Linked DNA regions of Mus musculus. The protein of the gene in region 1 interacts with the protein of each later gene in a biochemical or structural test. Links are inferred from orthologs where the notes say so. Each region holds a gene or a part of one and is shown in the gene's direction. Other genes may lie near its edges.

Region 1 (3,207 bases):
GGGAAGGCCAGAAAGCCGCAGGCAGGCAGGGCTAGCGTCTTACCCTTTCCCTCCCTGCCCCCCACCCCCAAGGGCACAGGGAGATGTCATTTCTCCAGCTCTTGGGGGCGGAGGTCACCCCAGCTCAGCAGATAACACCGAAGGTTGAGCAACACCCCGCCAGCTTGCCGGGGCCAGGGCTGGGGTCAATGGGTCGGGGGTCAGCCCCTGACAGGTTGGCAGCTCCTGCTTGAGTGGCCCACCTAGGAGTGGCAGAAGGGTGGGCCCCAAGAGTTGCCCTGGGCGTCCTCAAAAGGGTCTCACCGGAGAGAGGCTGGTGATCCCAGCCCATTCAAGTGCACGGGGTGGAGGGGTTGCCTCCCCAGCTTGCAGGGTGACCGCTGGGTCCTTATGGCTGGAGTGGGGTCTACCATGCTCCCACCGCAATCACCTGAGAAGCCTCTGGGCAGGGCTGTGCAGGTCTTAGGAAGGCATCGTACTTCTCGGGGGTCCGTTTGTCTCTGATGACACCACTACTAACAATACCAACACTGTCCACGGAGGGAACTCAGAAGCAAAGTGACTCACCCAGACACAGTGTGGCAGAACCCCCAGCCCTGCCACCTTCATGGAGAGGCGCAGGGAGTGGCGTAGGCAGGTGCGGTAGGCGGGCCATACATAGGGTGGAGGGCTGGGATCCAGGACAGCGAGCATCCCCGGGGTGGGCGTGCACCTGGAGAGTTCTGCTTCCCAGGAGTTGGGGGGGGGGTCCCAGAGGTGTGGGCAGCACCTGGGTGGGAGGACATGCACCCCGTGGAAGGCTGCTTCCAGGGAATTGGGGCCCGGGGACAGCGGGCAGGATCCGAGGGTTGGGGTCGTGTAGCTGGAGGAACGATCTGTTTCCCAAGAGTTGGGGGTCCGGGACAGCGGACCGGAGCCGGGACGAGCCACCGCGTCCTCCAGCAGGGGGCGGGCGGCGGCCGCGCTCCTCCGTGTTCCCGAGGGGCGGGAAGGGGGCGGGCTGGCGTCACCCGCGTCCGTGGCCATCGCGGGGCTGGCGGGACGCCCGGGTCACCGCTCAGCCTCCCGCGCGAGGACCCCCGCCGCGCCCCACTCCCCGCCGCGCCCTCTCGCGCTCCCGTGGCCGGGCAATGACGCGCACCGACCGGGTGGCGGGGCGGCGGGAGGGGCCCCAGCGTGACGCAGCCCGTTGCCAGGCGCCGCCTTATAAACCTCCCGCTCGGCCGCCGCCGCGCCGAGTCCGAGCCGCGCACGGGACCGGGACGCAGCGGAGCCCGCGGGCCCCGCGTTCATGCACCGCCTGCTGGCCTGGGACGCAGCATGCCTCCCGCCGCCGCCCGCCGCCTTTAGACCCATGGAAGTGGCCAACTTCTACTACGAGCCCGACTGCCTGGCCTACGGGGCCAAGGCGGCCCGCGCCGCGCCGCGCGCCCCCGCCGCCGAGCCGGCCATTGGCGAGCACGAGCGCGCCATCGACTTCAGCCCCTACCTGGAGCCGCTCGCGCCCGCCGCGGACTTCGCCGCGCCCGCGCCCGCGCACCACGACTTCCTCTCCGACCTCTTCGCCGACGACTACGGCGCCAAGCCGAGCAAGAAGCCGGCCGACTACGGTTACGTGAGCCTCGGCCGCGCGGGCGCCAAGGCCGCGCCGCCCGCCTGCTTCCCGCCGCCGCCTCCCGCCGCGCTCAAGGCGGAGCCGGGCTTCGAACCCGCGGACTGCAAGCGCGCGGACGACGCGCCCGCCATGGCGGCCGGTTTCCCGTTCGCCCTGCGCGCCTACCTGGGCTACCAGGCGACGCCGAGCGGCAGCAGCGGCAGCCTGTCCACGTCGTCGTCGTCCAGCCCGCCCGGCACGCCGAGCCCCGCCGACGCCAAGGCCGCGCCCGCCGCCTGCTTCGCGGGGCCGCCGGCCGCGCCCGCCAAGGCCAAGGCCAAGAAGACGGTGGACAAGCTGAGCGACGAGTACAAGATGCGGCGCGAGCGCAACAACATCGCGGTGCGCAAGAGCCGCGACAAGGCCAAGATGCGCAACCTGGAGACGCAGCACAAGGTGCTGGAGCTGACGGCGGAGAACGAGCGGCTGCAGAAGAAGGTGGAGCAGCTGTCGCGAGAGCTCAGCACCCTGCGGAACTTGTTCAAGCAGCTGCCCGAGCCGCTGCTGGCCTCGGCGGGCCACTGCTAGCGCGGCGCGGGTGGCGTGGGGGGCGCCGCGGCCACCCTGGGCACCGTGCGCCCTGCCCCGCGCGCTCCGGCCCCGCGCGCGCGCCCGGACCACCGTGCGTGCCCTGCGCGCACCTGCACCTGCACCGAGGGGACACCGCGGGCACACCGCGGGCACCGCGCGCACGCACCTGCACAGCGCACCGGGTTTCGGGACTTGATGCAATCCGGATCAAACGTGGCTGAGCGCGTGTGGACACGGGACTGACGCAACACACGTGTAACTGTCAGCCGGGCCCTGAGTAATCACTTAAAGATGTTCCTGCGGGGTTGTTGATGTTTTTGGTTTTGTTTTTGTTTTTTGTTTTGTTTTGTTTTTTTTTTTGGTCTTATTATTTTTTTTGTATTATATAAAAAAGTTCTATTTCTATGAGAAAAGAGGCGTATGTATATTTTGAGAACCTTTTCCGTTTCGAGCATTAAAGTGAAGACATTTTAATAAACTTTTTTGGAGAATGTTTAAAAGCCTTTTGGGGGCAGTAGTTGGCTTTTGAAAAAAAATTTTTTTTCTTCCCTCCCGACTTTGGATTTATGCGAGATTTTGTTTTTGTGTTTCTGGTGTGTAGGGGGCTGCGGGTTATTTTTGGGTTGTGTGTGGCGGTGGGTGGGGGTGTCGCATCTGGGCTTTTCTCTTCCCATGGCAGATGGGGTGTCAGCCCCTCCCCCCAGGAGAGGGGGCAGAGTGCCAGGTCAGGAATTCAGGGTGACTCAGCACCCACGGGTGCTGGGGGACTTGCTAGAAACCCTGCTTGGGACGGGCCGCCCTCGGCTTGGTTTGAGTGTCAGACTTGTGTTGAGAGGACTAGACATTCTGTAGGAAAGGCTAGTCCAGACAGCTGGGTCAGGGCAGGTGAGTTCTGTGTGTTTGGTGGTGTGGGGGAGACCGCACGCCTGTTTGGTGTCTGTGTCCCTGTGTAGCTGGAAGAGAGATTGGGCCGAGAGGAAGGTGAAGGGAACACTTCCTACTCTGCTTTCCCTTTCTCACTA
Region 2 (3,968 bases), on another chromosome or scaffold:
TGAGTCTACGACAGACTATGTAATAGGCCACCACATGGCCTCTGTTTTCATGGCACAAAAAAAAAAAAATACGTTTTGCAAGATGTTTTTACTTTTACTCAAGTTTTCTCCACAGAGCTGCTTTTTACCTTTATCGTTGTTTAATTTACAAATGAGTAAGGTAGAATCCTTGGACAAATTAAACTAGAATCTGTGTTTCCTCTGATGACCCAGTCCAGGGCAATCATGCGTTCAAGTGCATGCACGTCCCAGGCTCTACTGTAGGTCGTGAACTCAGACAGCTAGAGGCAGGAGGCCAGCTCCTCAGCAGGGAGTCACAGGACTCGCTATCTCGGAGAAGGAAGAGGGTGGATACTGGGCTTAGTGAAGGGCGTAAGAGCATCACACAAAGCAGGGGTGGGATGAGGAGGAGGCAGCAATCTACACTCTGTAAAGAACTTCAATCCTAGCACGTAATGGACGATTCAGAAACAAGCGTTAAAGGTGCCTCTCTGAGAGAAGCGGGTGGACTATCAAGGAACTCAGTCTTTGGGACGCATTAGAAGGCTAAAAGAGGAGGAGAGCTCTTAAAAGATTCGAGGAGATGTCAATCCAGGTGAACAAATTGGAAACTTTAAAGAGGTTCCAGAGCCCCGGTGCCCATTAGCTGGGAGGGGCCAGGGAAAATGGGAGCCTTTCATGGAGGAGTAAGTTAAAGGTGATGGGAGGTGGGCAGACAAGTTCAGGAAGGACAGCCGTTGGGGCCGTTGGACACTGGGAGCTGGCGCTCCGCCCTCTTTCCTCTCTCCCCCATAGCCCCCCTCCCGCACCTCCCACCACCATCGACGTCCCCTGCGCGTGCGCGCGCGGACACCGGTTGCCAAACATTGCATCATCCCCGCCCCCCCATCCCCTCCCTCGCCGCGCTCTCCTCCGCGCGCGCGCATGACTCACTCACCTCCTCCGCGAAGCCGCGTGACCCAAAGCCACTTCCGGGTCCGAGACAACGTAGACTCTCAAGCCAGAGGGCGCGATGGGGGTGGGGCCGTGAGACTCCTGAGTGGCGGATGTAAGGGATGAGGCGGAGCCAGTGCCAGCGTGCCGCTTTCTGATTGGTAGGCTCCTGGACCCTGCCCCCCCCCCAGGAGGGGCCGGACAGCATAAAGGATACTCGCTCTCCGCTCTTGAGGTCAGTTATCTTGAGCCTAACACGTCGATTATATCATGTTGAAGATGAGCGGGTGGCAGCGACAGAGCCAGAATAACAGCCGGAACCTGAGGAGAGAGGCGAGTACTGGCTCCGTCTAACCCTTACCTTCCCATCCTGGCCAGCATAGCTATTTTATAAAGTTGGAGACAACTGTTCTGGAGGATGTAGCCCCACCCCTTCCACTGTAAGCTTGTAGACTGGGAAGGGTGAAGGCCGGGAATCCCTGATTCAGGAATGGTGCTTACAGGCCCTCTCTTGCATTGGGCGATTGCATTCCCGTTCCCTTGTCTCGAGTTGGTCCCCACTCTGCAGAGGGACTCCGGTTGCCTTCGGGAACTTGTCTCTGTAGTGCGAACTGCGGGCCAGCTTAGGCCTGGGCAGTTCGCAGGAAAGGCGGGGCAGCAGGACACACCCCCAAAGTCGGGGACTCTGGCTGTCTCAGCCTTTTCTTCACCAGCCTCATTCCCCCCAACTCTTTCAAGCTGAAGCGCCTCAGTCAAGGGGCCAACATGGCCACGTTAGTAGCTGACTCTCAAGTTCAAGAGAACGCGAAGACTGACAGATCTTTGCGAGTGGGGGTGCTGGTGGGAGGAGCATAGATGGGTTTTTCCCTTTTCCCCAGAGGTTTCTAGGTTTCCATACAAGAGAGCAGCCTGGATCTCTTTAACTATGGGAAATTATTTGGGATCTCTCCAGGGTCTTCTGCTTCTCCCAGGGCTGATTGATCTCTGCTTCTTTCCTCAGTCCCGTCTCCTAACTAAACTGTGTAACCATTGCGTCAGGCCAGCCCACTGTTTGTCTCTGCACCCTCAGGCCTGGGGCTCCTCTGCTGATGAAAGCCAGGTCCCACACACTGGAAGACCAAGGGAGTTTTCCCTAGAGGACAACCCTGCAGAGAAACACTCAGGGCAATATTGCATCTGCAGTCCCCAGAGACAGCCAGCTCCGCTCTGCCTTTAGGCTCAGTGGGCTTAATTCTCTATAAGGGAACTTGGGGGAGGGGCTTTTTCCCCATTCATTCCTAACAAATGCCTAATAAGCACCCACTATGTACCAAGTATCTGGGGACCCAGGGTATATTAGGAGCAAAAGATAAAACTGTTCTCAATAAAACTTACATTTCAGTATAAAGCAAAAGGGAAAAAAAAAACAAAAGCAGGGCAGAATAGTTCAGGGCGGTGACTAGAGGTTGTCATCAGAAGCCAAGCCTGTGAGCCAAGCCCCGGTGTTAGAGCTTTATAGAAGGGAGAGGCTGAGCAACAGAGTTAAGATAAGCATGCCATGCCGGTATCTTTAGGAACAGGACTAGAGTAAGCAGGAGAGGGTGATGAAAGGAAACTCAAGCAGCCGGTCTCATAGAGCCTTGCAAGCACCCTCATGATGCTAATCTTTAACAATCATGAAACAGGAAGCCATTGGGGGATCTGAGCAGAGGAATGATCATAGCACATGCATTTAATTCCAGCACTCAGAGAGGCAGATCTCTGAGCTCCAGGCCAGCCAGGGCTACATTATGAGACCCTGACTCAAAATAAATACAAAAACAAAGGGTTAGGTATGTAGCTCAATAGTACACTGCTTGCCTGGTATGTAGAGGACCCTAGGTCAACCCACAGCCGTGAAAATAAAGTAAAAGACAAGAATAGAAACAGGAGGTCTCAGCTGAACATAGTGGCACAGCCTTTAATCCCAGCACTTGAAAGGCAGGCAGATCTAAATTCAAAGCCAGAGAGTCTACAAAGCAAGTTCCAGGACAGCAAAAGCTACATAGTGAGACCCTGTCTAAAAGAGAAAGAAAGGAAAGGAAAGGAAGAAAGAAAGGAGAGATTTCAAAGAGGCTTCCAAAATAATCCAGGGAAAGAAATGTATGGTAAATTTATATCTGGAGCCAGGCAGTGGTGGTGCACGCCTTTAATCCCAGCATTTGGGAGACAGAGACAGGCGGATTTCTGAATTCGAGGCCAGCCTTGTCCACAGTGAGTTCCAGGACAGCCAAGGCTACACAGAGAAACCCTGTCAAGAAAAACCAAAAAAATAAATAAATGAAAAATAAAAAATTGCATCTGGAAATAATGTAGTAATGAGAAATACTTAGGTTTGGGGTACTTTTAAAGTTGTCAGTGCTTTAGGCTGAGCTGTGGTATCTGAGAAAGGGGCATCAAGGATACCAAAGTTTTTGGCTTTCAGCACCTAGAGTTGCCATTTAGTAAGAACTATACAGCCTTGGTAGGAAAGGCCTTTCATGTAAGCTGAACGCCTGCTCAACACTGCCAAGGAGCTGGAGATCCCAGAGCAGGTCTGCACTGAGGCTGCCAGTGGGGGGATGGAATCTGAGCAAGCACTGCTGAGTTTACTCTTCCTTCCCTCTAGTTCTGTCTCCCTTTGGCGGACTTGAGGTCTATCTGGGATTTAGAGAAAACTTAGTTGGCCAGGACTTTGCTATTATGTAATCAAGACGGCAAATGTCAGCAACTAAAAATAAAGTTAAGCCTGCCTCTGTCCTTGGAGTTGGCTTCAGGGACACACACGCTGCAAGACACACGCCTGTGTGTGTGTGTGTATTACAAGAGAAGAAATGGCTTCAGGGACACACCCGCTGCAAGACACACACACCTCTGTATGTGTGTGTGTGTATTACAAGAGAAGAACTGGAGCCTGGTCTGCAGAGTTGTTGAGTTCCAGAATTCCAGGATGCCCAGGGATGCACAAAGAAACCATCTCACAACCCATTTTAGAAAGGATCTAGAAAAGGGCTAGGAGGAGTTAGAAAGGATCTAGA
Region 3 (4,172 bases), on another chromosome or scaffold:
ACAGCTCCTGGACTCCCCCACTGGAATATCCTTTTCCTAACTTCATATCTCTCTCTCTCTCTCTTTTTATATATAACTCAATTTGTACTGCACCTATCAATTTTGATGACAATGAAGAATTGGATTTGTGAAGGAAATTCTACTATCGATTCATTTAAGTGATTTATTTTCTCATTGCAGACATCAACTTTTGAATTGTCCCTTTGGCTTACCCTGGGGGGGCAGTGTTACACATTGGTGTGTGTTGTAAAGTTTCTCCAACAGACTTAAGAAATGACTTGGTCTAACAGCTGTACTAGAAGGAACCCCGAGGGAAGGTGAAAAAGGAAACAAAAAGACAACATATAATTCATGTTTCCTAGACGTCTGAATAAATTTAAAGTTAGGGTCTGTCTATTTAGTCCTGGTTTGAAATTTGCCACGTAAATCCACCAGGCTGGAGCTCCTTCTGTCTCTGCTTCCCAAGGGCTAAGATTTACATGCATGGGCTGTGATTTAAAGCCAGGGACTATACGGCAGGCTTGTGTTCTAGCTACTAAGTACAATATTCATAAAATTATACAAGAAAGTAAGTACAAAGTCAAAATCAAAGACGGGCCTTTTGCCACCAAATGCACCACTTTTGTGGTGGGATGGACCCAGGGCTTTGTATATGGACAACAAATTTTGAACTGTCCCTTTACGTTGCCCTGAAAGTTTTAGATAGCGGACCACTTAAGTAATGAGAGGTAGTTTTGACTTGTTTTGTAAGGTGTGAAGTTCTGAAACTGAGCTTTCTTTACATCCCAGCCTGCACAACCTATTTAGCAGGTGTACACTTAAGCAAGTCTTGAAGGTCGCCTCCAACTCGAAATTCCCGCCTCTTTCCCAACTGCTCACGTTTGGCCACCTCGGGCTAGGCCCTGGAATGTGACTCCTTGACTGTCGCGCGCGCCTCCGAGCTCAACCTTTTGGAGCCGGTGTGATGAAAGGGACAGAGTGAGAGATCCGCTCGGAAGTAAACTGCTACAAACACCCGCACTCGGTCCAGCTGTGTCCACCAAGGTCTTCAAAAGCCAACCCAACCCGGCGGGCCTGCCCATCGCTCATCCCGAGCTGTCCCACGCTGCTTGGGTACTCTGTGAACCGCACTCCGTGTCTGAAGAGGGCATCCTGCGAAAAGGCGACTCCCCTCCGGCGCCGTTGCTCGCTCGCTGCTCAAACTCAGCCAGAGCCGCCGGGCTGCCCGCGGGCGCCTGCGCACTGGGACCCTCCCTGCTCTGGGCGGGAGGCGGGGGCAGCGGGGAGAAAGGAGCGCTGCGGGAGGGGAGCGGGGGAGGGAAGGGCCAAACCCTGAAATTACCCGGATGTGGTCTCCGCGCGCGCATGCTCAGTGTCCTTCCGACAAGTTGGCAGCAACAACACGGCCCTGGTCGTCGTCGCCGCTGCGGTAACGGAGCGGCTCGGGTGGCGGAGCCCGTGTTCGCGTCCGTCCGCCCGCCCGCCCGCCGTCCTCCGGAGGCCCTTCCCGCGCCGCGCTCCGCTCCGCGGCCGTCCCCGGGGCGGGAGCGCGTGACCGGAGCCGGCGCCCGCGAGCGAGGCCCCCCGCAGCGGGGCGGCTCCGGAGCTCCAGCGGCCCGGCCGGCCGGCGCGGTCCGCGGCGCGGCGGGGAGAGGGGGCCGCCTGGGCCGGACGCCGCGGGCGGGGCCCGGGAAGCGACAGCGAGGCGAGGCGCGGTGCGGCGCGGAGCCCAGGTAACGCGCGGTCCTCCCCTAACCGGGGCCTCGGCGCCCGCGCTTCCCCGCCCCGGGGCGGGCTCCCGCGGCGACCGGCGCGAGCGTGGGCCCAGCGGGGCTCGGGTGGGTCGCCCCCGCGCGTCCGGGGCTTCGCGTGCCCGCGCGTGGCTCCCGGGCCCCAACTCCTCTCGCAGTTAGGCGAGCCCGCCGTCCCGGGAACTCGGTCGCCGGTCCCCGTCCGTGCCGCCGCTCTTTGTTGTTCGGGAGGAGTTTGGCCGCGGCCCGGGCCGTCGCGTCGGCCCGGCCCGAGTGCGTTATGCCCGGGGTGCCCCGGGTCGGGTCCTCGTGCCTTCCCCACCTCCCCCACCCCCCAGCAAGTGTTTGTTTTCTCTTTGTCCCCACTTTCTCTTCCTGGTTGTGTGCTCTGAGTTTACGTTTGTAGCTTTGATTTGTTTACTTTTTGGGTATTGTGGGTGATGGCGGCGTGCGGGAGACACTCTTAGCGCCAAACTGAACCACCCTCCCCTAATAAAACGTGTCTCCTAATAAAAGGCGTAGTTTATTTTATTGTTAGGGCTACATGCACGGAGCGTGAAATTGGTGGAGGGTGGAGGGCGTTGGCTTCAGCACCCCAAACTGCTGTTATGATTTCTCAAGCCAGATTTTCAAAGACAAGGGCGTGTTTAGTTAACTTGAAAGGTTCCTTTGCCAGAGGTTTTAAAAAGCCCTGTTTATTGATAGCTCCTCCCCACTGCCCCACCCCACAAAACCTGGAGTAAACTTAATTTTTAAAGTTGGTTTTCAGGTAATTCATTTTAGAATTTATCAGTGCCTTCAGTTTCTGATAACTTAAGGTGGGATTGTCACTTACTTAGAAATAAAGTAACGAGATAAAGAGGGAGTTATTTTAAGTACCTTGAATTCGTGTTCTGCAGGCTTGTAATCTCGCTTAATTTTTTAACAATCGTTGAATTTTGCCAGATTTAGCATCCTTTTCCTCTCAGTAGTAGCTTGAGACTTTGAACGTTTTAAGAATCAGGTTCAGGACTTTCTGCTGACACAAACCGTGTGGAATCTTAACTGAATGTACAGAAATCTATTATAAATTCCACAAAGCAATTAGATTTCAAGCACCGCATTTGAATAGTTTTTGTTACAGATTTTACAGGTTTACCTTGCATTCAGGATATGAAGCGCTTGCAGTTGAAATGTATGTAGCATAGGCTATTCAGAGAAGTAAACTTCTCCCTACTGTAGACTCTATCTCTTGGATCTATCTGGTAGGATTAGTACGTGTTATTTCAGAGTGTAAATGATTGCTTTAATATTTCTTAAAATACAGTTTCTCCCTAATGCTTTGTTCAGTGTACTGTCATGAGTCTCTAGGGCTTCCTGCTCCTCTCTTCAACTCCTGACCATCCGTGTCTCTCAGCTTCTCCGGAGCTGGGATACAAAATTGCGACACGGTGCTCATAGGCTCAGGAGTGTGTTTTCTTCAGTGACCTGGTTACAAACATGCACCGAGGCAGACTAATACCCATAGCCTGAAGCAGCTTCTGATGTGATGAATTATGTAGGCTTCAATTGCCGGAATTAAAACAAATCCTTTCCAAAGAGAATTGACATAAAGGTTTTTAGTTTTTTGTCACTGTCTTAAGACAGGTGGCTTTTTTTTTTTTTTTTTTTTTTTTGCTTTCTAGGCTTTTGAGTGAGTATGCATTAAAGGGGTATTACATATTTTTGTTTTTGAAGATGTAGTTGACACTTTTGGACTAAATGCTTCCACTGTAAATCTTAAGTTGGGAAGAATTAAAATTGTGTTTACAGAATTAAGGAAAATTTGTGCTAAACAAGTCAGTGCAGTGATTTGGCGTGTGTTTTATATGGACCTGAACTTCCCTGATGGTTTTGCTCTTGAAATAGTTCTGATTATATGAGTTGTACAGATCTTGCTCTTTCTTTAAGGTCATTTTCATGTATGCTACATGTTAATTCAAGTGTTTCTGTTGGTGAGTTTTGTCTCTGGATTCTCTGCTTCACACACACGGGGGAGGGGCCGTATTAATGGTGGAATAGTAAAATACTTTATGCAGGATCCCCCCCCCCCCCCCCCCCCGTTAGAACCTGTTTTTTTATTTTTCTAACTGAGCCAGAGTTATAGTAACATTGGCACACACTATTCTAATTGAGCTGTGCATAGCTGGGGCCTGTACCAGGGCAGTTAACCCTGCAGAGTCTGCAGAGTTGGTTAAATCTAAAGTGCATATTTGGGCTTCTTTAAAATTTGATCTCTAGATGAGAGCACAATCCTTTTTTTTTTCTTTTTTGTTTTTGATGAAATATTACCTACTTCAGTTCTATTTTGTCCCCCATCTAGTTGATGCCTAGGTTTTTGTTTTTCTTTTCATTTTTGATTCACCCAGAATGAGTGTCTCTTTATAAGCATCTTGTAATAGC
Region 4 (4,118 bases), on another chromosome or scaffold:
GAACCGGCTTCTGCTTCTCCCTGGGCCCTTCTCTCACATCAGAGGGCAGGAAGGAGGCTATGAAGGAACTGGATCACCTGAATGTGCGGGGTTACAGCTCCATCCTGGGAGCTGATGGGATTGAGCAACGGGGTTGAAAAGGTCTGGCTTGCTCTGCCCTGCCCTGCCCTGCCGGCCCTGCCCTACCCTGCCCTTTTAAGAATCGGGCCTGGGGCAAGGAAAATTGTTCTCTGGACTGAGCCAAAAGAGGGGGCCTTTCTGATCTTCCAGGAAGAACTATCCCTGACCTTTCACAGTCTACCTCTACAATGGGAAGAAACTGTCTATTTCTCTGGCTTTCCTCCACCCCCACCCCCCCATTAAGGAGTGGGCAGGGAAAAAGATGGAGGTAGGATGGAAGGGTATGAGGTCAGGAATCCTCTCCATCTTCAAAGCTGCCTAGGCGAGCCAGAAGAGGGGACCACCCCCTACCCTCCGCATCTTCAGTGTTGGTCTCTCTGGTTCTTTAGTTCTCAGCACACACAAACACACTCCCCCCCCCCTTTCCTGCCCACTCCCAACACACACACACACACACACACACGAATGCCCGTGCATGAACACACACATTCAACAGCAGCATGGCCCACAACTATGTCTCTTTGTTCTTTTGAAAATAAAACCGTTTCTGTTTAACAGCAACCCAAGTATAGAAAAAGCTGATTGTCACTGGGCAGTGATGGCGCATGCCTTTAATCCCAGCACTTGGGAAGCAGAGCCAGGCGGATTTCTGAGTTCGAGGTCAGCCTGGTCTACAGAATGAGTTCCAGGACAGCCAGGGCTTCACAGAGAAACCCTGTCTCAAAAAACAAAATAAAACAAAACAAAACAAAACCCAAAAACTGATTGTCAAAGTTAATTCATAAGTGTGAACACCACAGTACAAATAGTAGAATTAATGTTACATTTTATCTCTATTGTAGCTGCAAGCCTTAGCCGGCAGCCACAATAGGGCAGGCTTTTGCAATGTGGGAGCCAACCTCAGGCCCAGGCCTGTTCTTCCACCTATGGACTTTAAAAGGGCAGCATCCACAAATCCTCCAGACGGCCAGTGTTCTGGGGTGCCTCTTGTTCCCAAGAGGATAGTAATTGTCACTATCTCGGATGGCTTAAAAAAGATTAGAATGAAGTAATGGTCAAATCTAGGATGCTCAACCAAGCGACATTTGGTTGTCTGGAACCAAGAAAAAAAAAAGTATGGAAGGCCAAAGGATGGGAAGCGGCAAAGGAAGACTACGACTCCCATCGTGCGCCGGGGCCGTGACGCCTGCGCACTGTGCGCCGGTTGCCCATGCGGCCCTAGGGCTGGGAGCGCGGCGCCGCTCCGCTGCGGGGGAGGCCATGGCGGAACCTTCCCAGGCCCCAAACCCGGTCCCGGCAGCGCAGCCCCGGCCCCTTCACTCCCCAGCCCCTGCCCCAACTTCGACTCCTGCGCCCAGTCCGGCTTCAGCCTCCACTCCGGCTCCGACTCCGGCACCAGCCCCTGCCCCAGCTGCAGCCCCAGCTGGGAGCACAGGGAGTGGGGGCGCCGGGGTAGGAAGTGGGGGGGATCCGGCTCGACCTGGCCTGAGCCAGCAGCAGCGCGCTAGCCAGAGGAAGGCGCAAGTCCGGGGTCTGCCGCGTGCCAAGAAGCTTGAGAAACTAGGGGTCTTCTCAGCTTGCAAGGTGGGGGCGGGGCCTAGAGCAAAAGGGGCGGGGCTTGGGGCATCCAAGGTCTGGGGTAGGAATGGGGGGCGAAGCTCTAGCCATAGAGCCGCTCTTGCGCTTGGGATGCAGACAGCATCAGGGAACTGAACCTTCCCCCTCCAGGCCAATGAAACCTGCAAGTGTAATGGCTGGAAAAACCCCAAGCCCCCCACCGCACCCCGCATGGACCTCCAGCAGCCAGCTGCCAACCTGAGCGAGTTGTGCCGTAGCTGTGAGCACCCTTTGGGTAAGGCAGGCACCACCTTTGGAGCTGGGGCGGAGGGCAGGAGCCAGGTCCTGTTTGAACAGGGTGACATAAGTACCACAGAGCTTCTTGGAGACCTTCTAAGGAAATATTGGGTAGGGAATAAATGTGAATGTCCCATGGAAGGAAAAAAGGAGATCTGCCTTGGTAGCAGGTAGCTACCAAGGGCTGATGGGAGAACTGAGAACACTGGGTCTCCCTGTCTGTCAAGAATTGGAGAATCAAGGGTGTGTCACTGGCTAGTTAGAGGAGGTACAGGAATCAAGCCCCGTGGAGCTCTTCTGTTCTTCCCAGCCCTAATGTAACCATCTTGCAGCGGACCATGTGTCCCACCTGGAGAATGTGTCAGAGGACGAGATTAACCGGCTCTTGGGAATGGTAGTAGATGTAGAAAATCTGTTCATGTCTGTTCACAAGGAAGAGGACACAGACACCAAACAAGTCTATTTCTACCTCTTCAAGGTGAGTTCTCATGGAGTAAAGATGGTGAAGCTTTGGTGTGTGTTGGGGATCCTGCTCTCTGAGCTCTGCTACTCCTGTTTCTGCCCATCCCTCTTCCTTACAGCTCTTGCGGAAGTGCATTCTGCAGATGACACGGCCAGTGGTGGAGGGGTCTCTAGGCAGCCCCCCATTTGAGAAGCCTAACATTGAACAGGTAGGGCGGGCATGTAGCAAGATTAAAGGCGACTTAAGAGGGTGGAGAGTCTGGTTTATTTCCTCAAGCTGAGAACAGGGGAGAGGTTCAAGGAAGGGACATGGTGTTTGCTGACCTCAGAGTGGGTGTGGAAGTTGGAAGGGTCAGAGGTTCTCTTCACAGAATCCCTCCTATTTGACATGCCTCTGTTGGCTGTCCACACCTCCTCCTGATTTTGTCCCCTCCTTACTCCTCAGGGTGTACTGAACTTTGTGCAGTACAAATTTAGCCACCTGGCCCCCCGAGAGCGCCAGACAATGTTTGAGCTCTCAAAGATGTTCCTGCTCTGCCTTAACTACTGGAAGCTGGAGACCCCTGCTCAATTCCGGCAGCGGTCCCAGTCTGAGGATGTCGCTACCTACAAAGTCAATTATACCAGGTAAGCCCAGACAGGGCCTTACAGGGGAGGCTTGAACAGCCAGTCTGGCGGTCTCCACCCTCACCTGCCGCTCCACCTCCCCCAGATGGCTCTGTTACTGCCACGTGCCCCAGAGCTGCGACAGCCTCCCCCGCTACGAGACCACCCACGTGTTTGGCCGAAGCCTTCTACGGTCCATTTTCACTGTCACCCGCCGGCAGCTACTGGAAAAATTTCGGGTGGAAAAGGACAAACTGGTGCCTGAGAAGAGGACCCTCATCCTCACTCACTTCCCCAAGTAAGGCTCAGTCTGGCCTCCTGGGATTTTACCCCAAATTCATGTCCTTGCTGTTGTCCCCTTTTTTCCAGGAAGGCTTCCTGGATTGGTCCCTCCTCTCCCTCCATGGGCCTTCTGGGATCTGGGTGTCTACCTGGCAGATTTGCCCATGGCCCAGAAGCTACTTGCTAGTATGTGCTAGTCTGGGGATGGCAGGTACATGGCCCAAGCTAACGCTACCCTCTTTCAGCCCCCTGATAGATAGTTACTAATTAGTTTCCTCTGGGTGTGTGGATATCACCCCAGAGCCCCTCCTACCACAGTGCTCTGAGAAGTCTAGAGTTTACTTTTTTTGTTTGTTTATTTGTTTTTTCCAGACAGGGTTTCTCTGTGTAGCCTTGGCTGTCCGGGAACTCACTTTGTAGACCAGGCTGGCCTTGAACTCAGAAATCCGCCTGCCTCTGCCTCCCAAGTGCTGGGATTAAAGGCATGCGCCACCACGCCTGGCTTAGAGTTTACTTTTGAAGTGAAGCCATTACCTATCTCTGTGCCTCTGTTGTTCCACATCTTCTTCCCATTTGAATCTGGGAACAAGCATGTGGGAACAAGAGGTGACAAGATTGGCTCATTCTAGACCAGTCTGATAGAGAGGGGACTAAGGCAATTCAGGTGACTGGGTGGGTGCCCTGCCTAGCCACACAGCATAGGATGGCATCCGCTCAGACCCGTTCTCCTTGGCCACACATCATGACAAAATTGGGTCTCCAGTCTCTATCCTGGCTATGTCCTATCCTGAGCA

The links. The genes of interacting proteins can lie anywhere in the genome.
Region 2: the proteins of Cebpb (region 1) and Ddit3 form a complex in vitro, tested with the Homo sapiens proteins (2 studies listed by BioGRID and IntAct, with this or other methods). The link is inferred for Mus musculus from reciprocal best matches to the Homo sapiens genes CEBPB and DDIT3.
Region 3: the proteins of Cebpb (region 1) and Smad4 form a complex in vitro, tested with the Homo sapiens proteins (2 studies listed by BioGRID and IntAct). The link is inferred for Mus musculus from reciprocal best matches to the Homo sapiens genes CEBPB and SMAD4.
Region 4: the proteins of Cebpb (region 1) and Kat2a form a complex in vitro, tested with the Homo sapiens proteins (2 studies listed by BioGRID, with this or other methods). The link is inferred for Mus musculus from reciprocal best matches to the Homo sapiens genes CEBPB and KAT2A.

The regions. Positions count from the first base shown.
Region 1 is NC_000068.7:167,687,731-167,690,937, forward strand, and holds Cebpb (CCAAT/enhancer-binding protein beta), read left to right. Parts: upstream 1-1,184; 5' UTR 1,185-1,291; coding exon 1,292-2,182; 3' UTR 2,183-2,702; downstream 2,703-3,207. UniProt on the Homo sapiens protein: Important transcription factor regulating the expression of genes involved in immune and inflammatory responses. Also plays a significant role in adipogenesis, as well as in the gluconeogenic pathway, liver regeneration, and hematopoiesis.
Region 2 is NC_000076.6:127,289,626-127,293,593, forward strand, and holds the start of Ddit3 (DNA damage-inducible transcript 3 protein), read left to right. Parts: upstream 1-1,167; 5' UTR 1,168-1,266; exon of another isoform or gene 1,267-1,373; intron 1,374-3,968. UniProt on the Homo sapiens protein: Multifunctional transcription factor in endoplasmic reticulum (ER) stress response. Plays an essential role in the response to a wide variety of cell stresses and induces cell cycle arrest and apoptosis in response to ER stress.
Region 3 is NC_000084.6:73,700,991-73,705,162, reverse strand, and holds the start of Smad4 (mothers against decapentaplegic homolog 4), read left to right. Parts: upstream 1-1,371; 5' UTR 1,372-1,733; intron 1,734-4,172. UniProt on the Homo sapiens protein: In muscle physiology, plays a central role in the balance between atrophy and hypertrophy. When recruited by MSTN, promotes atrophy response via phosphorylated SMAD2/4.
Region 4 is NC_000077.6:100,709,667-100,713,784, reverse strand, and holds the start of Kat2a (histone acetyltransferase KAT2A), read left to right. Parts: upstream 1-1,317; 5' UTR 1,318-1,380; coding exon 1,381-1,704; intron 1,705-1,848; coding exon 1,849-1,972; intron 1,973-2,306; coding exon 2,307-2,452; intron 2,453-2,555; coding exon 2,556-2,645; intron 2,646-2,881; coding exon 2,882-3,063; intron 3,064-3,148; coding exon 3,149-3,340; exon of another isoform or gene 3,341-3,535; intron 3,536-4,118. UniProt on the Homo sapiens protein: Protein lysine acyltransferase that can act as a acetyltransferase, glutaryltransferase, succinyltransferase or malonyltransferase, depending on the context.